Linked DNA regions of Nothobranchius furzeri. The protein of the gene in region 1 interacts with the protein of each later gene in a pairwise test. Links are inferred from orthologs where the notes say so. Each region holds a gene or a part of one and is shown on either strand. Other genes may lie near its edges. The genes, in order: polr3c and polr3glb.

The links.
Region 2: the proteins of polr3c (region 1) and polr3glb interact in binary tests that used the Homo sapiens proteins (3 or more experiments, as listed by UniProt). The link is inferred for Nothobranchius furzeri from reciprocal best matches to the Homo sapiens genes POLR3C and POLR3GL.

Annotation. Positions count from the first base shown.
Region 1 is NC_091745.1:77,811,033-77,815,330, forward strand, and holds the start of polr3c (DNA-directed RNA polymerase III subunit RPC3), read right to left. Parts: upstream 2,824-4,298; 5' UTR 2,696-2,823; intron 1,307-2,695; coding exon 1,160-1,306; intron 986-1,159; coding exon 721-985; intron 611-720; coding exon 318-610; intron 221-317; coding exon 116-220; intron 1-115. Other genes in the region: rnf115a (E3 ubiquitin-protein ligase RNF115), read left to right, coding at 3,550-3,627. UniProt on the Homo sapiens protein: DNA-dependent RNA polymerase catalyzes the transcription of DNA into RNA using the four ribonucleoside triphosphates as substrates.
Region 2 is NC_091745.1:58,816,271-58,820,757, reverse strand, and holds the start of polr3glb (DNA-directed RNA polymerase III subunit RPC7-like), read right to left. Parts: upstream 2,912-4,487; 5' UTR 2,722-2,911; coding exon 2,614-2,721; intron 2,475-2,613; coding exon 2,345-2,474; intron 2,262-2,344; coding exon 2,193-2,261; intron 2,109-2,192; coding exon 2,043-2,108; intron 1,970-2,042; coding exon 1,884-1,969; intron 1,743-1,883; coding exon 1,629-1,742; intron 26-1,628; coding exon 1-25. UniProt on the Homo sapiens protein: DNA-dependent RNA polymerase catalyzes the transcription of DNA into RNA using the four ribonucleoside triphosphates as substrates. Specific peripheric component of RNA polymerase III which synthesizes small RNAs, such as 5S rRNA and tRNAs.

The DNA.
Region 1 (4,298 bases):
AACAACATAAAACATTTTAGTCATCCAGGAGAATGAATAAGCGTTTTGTAGGCACGTTCAACTCTTTTTTTTTTTTTATTCACTCGTATTTTTAGTCCTGAAGAGGAAGCCTGACCTGATCCAGTTTACTGGCCACGGCACTGATGATCACCTGGTCTCTGAAGTGCTGATGAAACCGCGTAAAGTTCACCTGCCAGTAGATCCCCTCGTCACCATGAGTCTGCACAAAAACACCAACCGTGTGTGATGATGATAAAAGCAGAAACAGAGAAATGTTGGAATGAATAAATAGGTGAAAAAAGAGAGTTGTTCCCGACTTCTGGCTCCATTTTGGCTCTTTTTGCGCTCCTTTGCTCTTCTCCCTCCTCGGTGGCGAGCTGGCGCTTTCCCCGCCCGACGAGGGTCACATGAGGCACCTTATAGCACTCGGAGAAGCTCTCTGGGTTGGGCAGGGTGGAGCTGGAGGCGGCTGCAGTGGGATTGGGGCCGGCTTGAGTGCTGCTGGCTGTCATTCCTGCTCCGTCCAACGGAGGGCAGCGCTGCAGGAAATGCGTCTCCACCAGTTTAGAAAAGACAGACGACACTTCGCTGTAATCAACGCTCTGCCCATCTGTAAGAACAACATAGACACTTGATGTCACGTAATATAAATCCTACTGAAACCTGAAAAACATTCAAAATCAAATCCAGATTTTTGTCTTTTTAAAATCAGACGCTGACCCTCCATGTTCTGACTGAGGCGGTCAGCGACTGTCTTGACCGTGCCGCTCATCGTCATGTGACCCCTCTGAAGCAGCTCCTCAACGATCAGCTCTCCGGTGTCACCGTACAAGGTTTTAGAGGTGTAGATGTAACGTGGGTATCGCAGAATCCTCAGAATGCAATCGCAGCTTGCCTGATACTCTGGGGGGCTGCCGGGTCCCTTTCGACCAGAGATGAACGAACACGCTCCGTGATGCATAAGCACGCATAAAGACTTCTTTACCTTTAAAAACAAAGGCAAAAGCAGCATCTGTACTGTGTGATTAAAAATCATTTATAGTGTAAAACTGTCCAATAAATCAACTCTACTTATCTAAAATACATCACCACCAACAATTAGCTGCTAAGCAAATATATTCTCAGTATTAACCAGCAGAAAGAAGCTTGTCATTTGTACCAGGTCCGCTGAGACTCCAGTTTCATGAACAATGGCTCGTAAATGTTGGCCACCACTTCTGAGCAGGTGTGTTCCCACTTTCTCCACCACCTCCCCGAAATGCTCTCGCATCAGAAGACCACACAGTCGTACCTCCTGGGCTGTCATCTGCAAAAACATACAATATAAATAAGATCCACAAGTAAACGGGTCAGGGATGAGGTCCTGCCCCAAGTGGAGGAATTTAAGTATCTCGGGGTCTTGTTCACGAGTGAGGGAAAGCTGGAGCGTGAGATCGATAGGCAGATTGGTGCTGCGTCTGCAGTGATGCGGGCGTTGTACCGGTCTGTCGTGGTGAAGAGAGAGCTGAGTCGGAAGGCGAAGTTCTCGATTTACCGGTCGATCTACGTTCCTACCCTCACCTATGGTCATGAGCTTTGGGTAGTGACCGAAAGAACGAGATCACGGATACAAGCGGCCGAAATGAGTTTTCTCCAAAGAGTGGCTGGGCTCTCCCTTAGAGATAGGGTGAGAAGCTCGGTCATCCGGGAGGGGCTCGGAGTAGACCCGCTGTTCCTCCACATCGAGAGGAGCCAGTTGAGGTGGCTTGGGCATCTGGTCAGGATGCCTCCTGGACGCCTCCCTGGTGAGGTTTCCCGGGCACGTCCAACTGGGAGGAGGCCTAAAGGTAGACCCAGGACACGGTGGAGGGACTATGTCTCTCACCTGGCCAGGGAACGCCTTGGGATTCCCCCGGAGGAGCTGGCCCAAGTGGCTGGGGAGAGGGAAGTTTGGACCTCTCGACTTAGGCTACAGCCCCAGCCACCCGACTCCAGATAAGCGGATGAAAATGGATGGATGGAAGTAAACTGGTTTTATTTATGTTACAGGTTTTGTAGAAGAATTCCTGTATTTTATTGTAGATGAAGCAAAACAGTAAATTAGATGACATCACCTATATCACGATAATAAAACCCACGGAAGCAGCACCAGATTAGCAGAACATTTTATAAAAGATGCTTTTCATGAAACAGATTGAAAACAAAATAATCAGTGTAATATGAACCAACAGTTGATCAAAATAAACAAACTAATTAAATGACAAAATGACTGTACCAAGTTGTGAGGAAAGTACTGAATATTGTGTATGTGGTTGGCTTAAATAGGTAAATTAGTATGATTTATTATCAACATCTTAACAGAAATTAACCTATTGCAAGAATAAAGTCATTTTATTGTATTTTATAAATTATATTTACTTTTTTGACAGGACACTAAAACACTAGTACACTTAAAGCATCACAAATCAATCACTAGCATCTTTAAACTGTGATGTTTCGGTTAAAAAAACACTAAAGCACCATAAAACAAAAGACAACATGTAAACTTCATCTAATATTAAATGTTAATTATGTTTTAAGCGTCTCTGATTAATGTCCACACCAGTGAAGCTAAAGTTGTATTAAGTGGATTAGCTTACAAGCTACTAGCGGCTAGCTCACCTGAAAGTAAAGAATTAGGAAAAATAAATACACGTAACTTATTTTTTTCACGAACCTTTTATTGCAGATGGGTTTCGGAGCAAACGTAGCTGTTGCCTTCATGCATCGACTTTTTACACATGCGTCTCTTCCATCACAACACACAGACACTTCCGGTAAAAAAGACACTTCCGCTCTCTGGGTCTTCCCTCCAGGATTTGGCTGCAGTGCAGCGCCCCCTGTCGAGCTGGAGATCGTTTGGTTCAGGCAAGTTGTTGTAGCATATAATTAACCACATCCCATTTTTTTCATTTGGAATTTAAATAAAAAAAAATTTGTTCATGAATTGCATTTTTAGTTATCAGAATAAACAACTGAAATTTCAAGCGCTCGACGTGTTAATAAGTTAGACAAAAAGTAAGAGGTACACAATCACACTGGGTGAAGTCAGTATTCATCAGTAAACATCTGCAGTTCCTTCCATGTATTTCAAAAGGTATATTTCACCTATTCAAAATCAACATTTCAAGAATCTCAAATACCTTTCCCAAATGTTAGGACAAACAAATTCCCATAGAAATTTAGTTTCCGGTTTAAAAAATCTAAACGTACTTTGCTGTCGAACAACTTTTGTTAGAATAATAATTTGTTTCTCAAAACTGGAATTCCCACTAGAGAACAATGTGCAGATTTCAAGGTCTTGAATACCGTGGTAACTCTGAAATATTTTAAATTTTCATATGATTTACTGCTATCATAAAGACGTTTTTATTATTAAACGTTTTAAAACAACTTATAATCATTTTGGAGGATATGAAAATGCATATGATAAATATCAGAATTATCACTTATTATATGATGAACCGGCTTGCCATAAAGTGTCTTTTGGTTGTAAAGGACCAACGTCACTAGTTGTGCTGCTTGGGGAAGATGGCGGAGGCCGCGCCTGTTCCCCCGCATCGGTTTTTCTGTCACTGTTGTAAGGGAGAAGTAAATCCTAAACTCCCGGTAAGTCCGGTGTTTTTGGTTAGTCATGTGTGATATATTCCACATCGTGCGCGACTGACAACACCGCTGCTCGACCAATAGCAGTTAGTTTCGCCTGTCTGCTACAGCTAAACCGCCGCTAGCTTGTTAACAGCTAGCAACGGTTGTTGCTGTTAACTCTCTGAATTAAACGGTGCCTAATTTGTTTTTACTTGAGGTAAACGCTGGGTTATAAACTTGACACTGTCAAGTTTTGTTCTATTCGTGTGTCTACGCGTAATTGTGTCAAAACTCAGGGCCCGAAGCTTCAGGTTTCCCACTGTGAATGTGTTGTGAGCGTATTTTCCACCGAACAAGACCTGAACACGGATTGTCTGGACCATTAAAGCCAAGACGACATATTTAAAACTCAGCTGAGAGACAGTGGACTAGTTTTGTTTTCAGTGTTTGTTTCTGGTCAAATATACTGTTGGAATGACGAGTTCGGGGATTTTTCATGGACTTAATGTTTAGTTTCATTTGTGAAGTCAAAGCAGCACTAGGTGCACTTTGTGACCTACACACTAGCCCTAATGAATACTTGGTAGAAGATACTAGTTTTAACAAGATTTAATGTAATTTTATAGAAGTGTGTAAACACTAACCTTGTTCAGCTTCAGAAAAATGCATCACACTTGTTTTAAGGAATATTC
Region 2 (4,487 bases), about 19 Mb from region 1:
AGTAGGACATGATGTAATCCGTCTCCTGCAGGACAAACCGATCAGTTAGAGACCAGTACTCACAGTGAGACCAGTTACTTTTTAAACCTGCTACCCAGCTATGTCCCCGCCCTGTTCAGCCAGAACGGGTCAGAATTCTGTACCCAATAGACCCTTTTACTACCTACGTCATCAAAAGTTGCGAGCGCAGCCTGGCAACGAGAGTGAAGGCTTCCTCATTCACACTCGATACTAAAGCAGTGTTTTAAACCCTTTGTTTTGAAGTTCTGAGCACATAAAATGTCGGGTTGTTGCGTGTATGGATGCCAGAATCGCTTCTCTCCAAGTAGTGGACTGAAACTTTACAGAATTCCGAAGGGAGCACATCCATTTCAACAAAATCGGAGGTGTCTGTGGCTGCAGGCCATCAAAAGGGTTGATGAAAACTGGACTGAAAACACGATCCGAAATGCTCGAGTTTGTAGCGCCCATTTTATATCAGGTAAGGTAATTATGTACTAAGATTACACCAGAAAGCTGGTTAACGTGTGTTCTATTAAATAAAGTAAGTTGCGCTTGCTGGTTTGCTTTTAAGCAGTCTATTTATTTTTTAATTAACATTTCATTCTAATTCATCTGTATTTTCCCACTGCATATTAGTATAAACTGTATTTCTCTAAAATTAACACGATTGTACTCTGAGCACGCTAAAAAAAAAGAAACCTAAGCTATACTCACCCTGCCATGCAGGTACAGTTGGCTGTGAAGACGTAGTTCTCTCGTTTGTTTACTATGACCCAAGCCTCGTACATAGCAGTCTTGTGTCCTTGTCTTTGGCTAGGAAGGACTTCTGCCTTCAAGACGCAAAACTCAGAGTCTATGTCGTGATATTTTACTTTCTGTACGTGGCCACAGACAACATAGTTGTATGCATCTAACGATTTGTATGCCCGTAGCTTCTCACGTGTGTACTTACTGGGCCTCTCCACTAAAAACGTATATATATCGGGCCACTGGATATCTGGCCACGCACCTACATCTTCCACCCATTCCGTAATGCCACAGGGATCCGGGAGTCTGTTGCCATTCGTTAAAGTGAGTTTAATAATATAACATTCAAGATTTGCCGGTGATAACCCCGCAGCGTAGCTTGATAAAGCCTGACACAACGCCATTCTCTGTTGCCAAGCTGCGCGAGCATTCTCGCTGACGTCATATTGTTTACAAACAGTAAAAGGGTCTATAAACGCTCCTCTTTGGTATGTTCTTGCTGTGTTGCTTTTCTAACTGCATTGTTGGTTCTTCTTGAAAACACGGAAAAGGTTTATTTTTACCTTGCTGCCAGCAAACCGGTTAAAGTTACCCTCGCGGTCTATCACTGGCAAATCAAAAGTGAGACGGATGACACAACCGCCCCCGTACTTGCTTGTTACCACATTCCAGAGAGAGAGAGAGAGAGAGAGAGAGAGAGAGAGAGAGAGAGAGAGAGAGAGAGAGAGCGAGAGAGAGAGAGAGAGAGAGAGAGAGAGAGAGAGAGAGAGAGAGAGGATTTTGACAGCACTTTTTTCTGACTATTCCAACTGACGGATTTCCGTCACCCCGACGGAGAACTTTAATCCCTGCCACACCCACACCGGGTGTCACCTCACCTCTTCAAACTCTTCCTCATCGTAATCCTCCTCAGCCTCAGCACCCTCATCCTGCTTCTTCTCCATCTCTCCTTCCCCCTCAGAGCTCTCCTGCTCCTCCTTCTTCTCCAGCGTCTGCAAGTATGACACACACAGGTCACGTCATCGGTATGGTAGGACAGCAGGTGGCTGAGACACCTGCTCCACAGGTGAGTCTGACAGATCTGGAATACGTTATTTTACCTGTGACCTGTTTCCCAGACCAGTCCAACTCACCTCCAGCTTCAGAAGGATCTCCTCTCTGACCTTCTTCTTCTTCTTCTGTATCTGCTGACCGCTGTCCCGGCAGCTGAGCAGCGCACCTTAACAAAAACACATTTTACCAGCAGCTAACACAACCTGGCTCAAATTACTGAGAGTAATCAGATTACTGACCATCACCGGGTGCTTTCCTGACGTGGACTCGCAGTTCTCTGGGGAATCTCTTCCAATCTGAAACGACTAATCAGCATTACTCCTGATCAACACATCACATTGGGTTCTCTTGGTTACTGTGGTTACAGATATTAGCATTCATGGTCTCACCTACAACCCAGTCCTTCAGCCTGTCAGTCTGTTCACTGATGTGATATTTATCTGAGTATCGCTCCACATCTGACAGGAAGTGCAGAGGAGAACTTCACAATAAGAGAGCAGTTACATCTGATAAGCAGTTAAGTGGTGATTGTTGGTCTCACCTCTTTGTGCCACTGCTGGTTGGATAAAGCATGGAAGACTCCTCATGGCTCCCCTGCAGTCCTGTTTCAGAGCCAACAAATACTCTGCCTCTTCTCCACCTGTTAGAGGCAGGGGCTTCTGCTCCATCACCTGGAAAACATTAAACTGCAAATCCCAGAATGCACTTGATGCCAAAAAAAATAAATACACAATGTCTGCTCAAAATAAAGCCACACGTGACCTAAACTCCAGGTGTGACTGGGTTCAGGTGTAGTGGGGTGGAGCTTACTGGAAACACAGGTGTAGGCTGGTGAATAGTTGGAGGAAGAGATTCTCTGATGCCGACTGCATCCACACTGAAACTCATCATCCTGTGGCCACGCCCACGACCTGCCATCTCTATTGCCTCTCTAAAGCAGACCAGAACCAGAACATGAACGGACCCTCTGTGGCGGATGTGGGTAGGGATTTTTATGACCTGTAGTGGTGGTGAGTGGTCATAGGCTGGCCCTCGCTTGTGAGAGGAGGGACCCTTTGGTCTTGACCCGGTTAACGCTGGGCCACAGTTGTCTGCGGGGTGGGTTGTTTTTTATTAGGGGAGCACCCGGATGGTAACTGTGACTGTGGAGAGTTGGAGAGTGTGAGATATGTTCTTCAGCATTGCTGGCGATATGCAGGAGAGAGTGGTCCTCTCTTGGGGGCCCTTGGTGTGTCTGTTTTCAGTTTGAGGACTTTGTTGGTGATGACGGACTGTCGTAGGGGTGTAAGGGCAGACTGTGAGTGGGAATAGGTGCTGACCCATCAGCATCTAGCCTGCCAGATCCAATGAAGAAGACCCTCTGCAGCCCGGTCAGACGTGGTGCTGAATCTGGATTCTGACAGAACAAGAAGGCTGAATGTTAGCAGAGATGTGGAGACAAGTGACCAAATGTGATGAAGGTTGTGGAGCATCATGGAGAGGATGCACGTCTGAGATCGAAGAGATGTTAGCTGATGTGTGACAGGAAGTCTGGAGCAGGAGGAGGATGCTAAACTGAAACCTACTAAAGAAAGTCCTTGTCCAGACTTCCGTCCGTTGGATTCTCTTCCTACTTGAAGCCAGCGTCTTTCATTCCGGACCACCAATAGTTCTGGTAGAGCTTGGTGTCCAGCTTGTTCCTGTTGTCTGGGTCAACATGGCCCCCTATCGGAGAAAACCAAAGATTCATAACAGCTTTTCTATATAATTGATCCTTTAACCTCTCCAGAATCCCCAGGTCCAATAATACCATACAAACAGAACCAATACAGAACGCCAGGGTTCTGGTCATTGGGCTGGTCCTGAACTAGACTGGACCTTCAATAGGTTCTGCTCCAGATTATCTCACCCGGCTGAGAATACACGCCCCCACGCAGTTCATCAAAACGACGAGTAGCTCTCGGTGACCCGGTTGGCTTTGTCTGACACGGTCCAGCGACGGCTCTTCCGGGATCGTTCCGTTTTAGGGGTCACTAAGCGTCGTCTCGCCTCTAAAGCGACAATTCATCTCGTTAGAACCTGAGGAACATTCACGTCTCCACGGTTCCGTCTTGTTTTGGACCAGACCGAACTGTCTGTTTACATCCGGCTTCGCGCCGTCTAAGTTCTTCTTCTTCTTTTGGTGTTTTATTGGTGGTTGGCAAACAATGAATGGTGCATTACCGCCACCAACTAGTGTGGAGTGTGGTCTGGAACAGCGCTCACATAACCAAACCAAACAGGGGGTTAAGACTCAAAGTCTCCCAAACACCCTTATCTCTTTCAAAAACCGAAATAAAATCTGATAACAGTCACTTTTTGAATTCTGTCTCAATAAATCAACAAGATCCAGTTTCACTTTCATCTGACTAAGAGTGTGAACTTAGTGACAGTGTAATATAACATGATCTATAGTTTCGTCTTCTCCACAATAATCACATTTCCCTGTATTATGTTTCCCTATCATGAATAATGTATTGTTTAACCCAGTATGTCCAAACCTTAGTCTAGCAATGATCACCTCCTCTCTCCTACTCTTTCCAGTGTTTCTCATTAGGCCCGAGCAGCGAAAGCGCTGCGAAGGCCTCTTGTTTTTGCTCTGATTATTATTAGGCCCGAGCAGCGAAAGCGCTGCGAAGGCCTCTTGTTTTTGCTCTGATTATTAT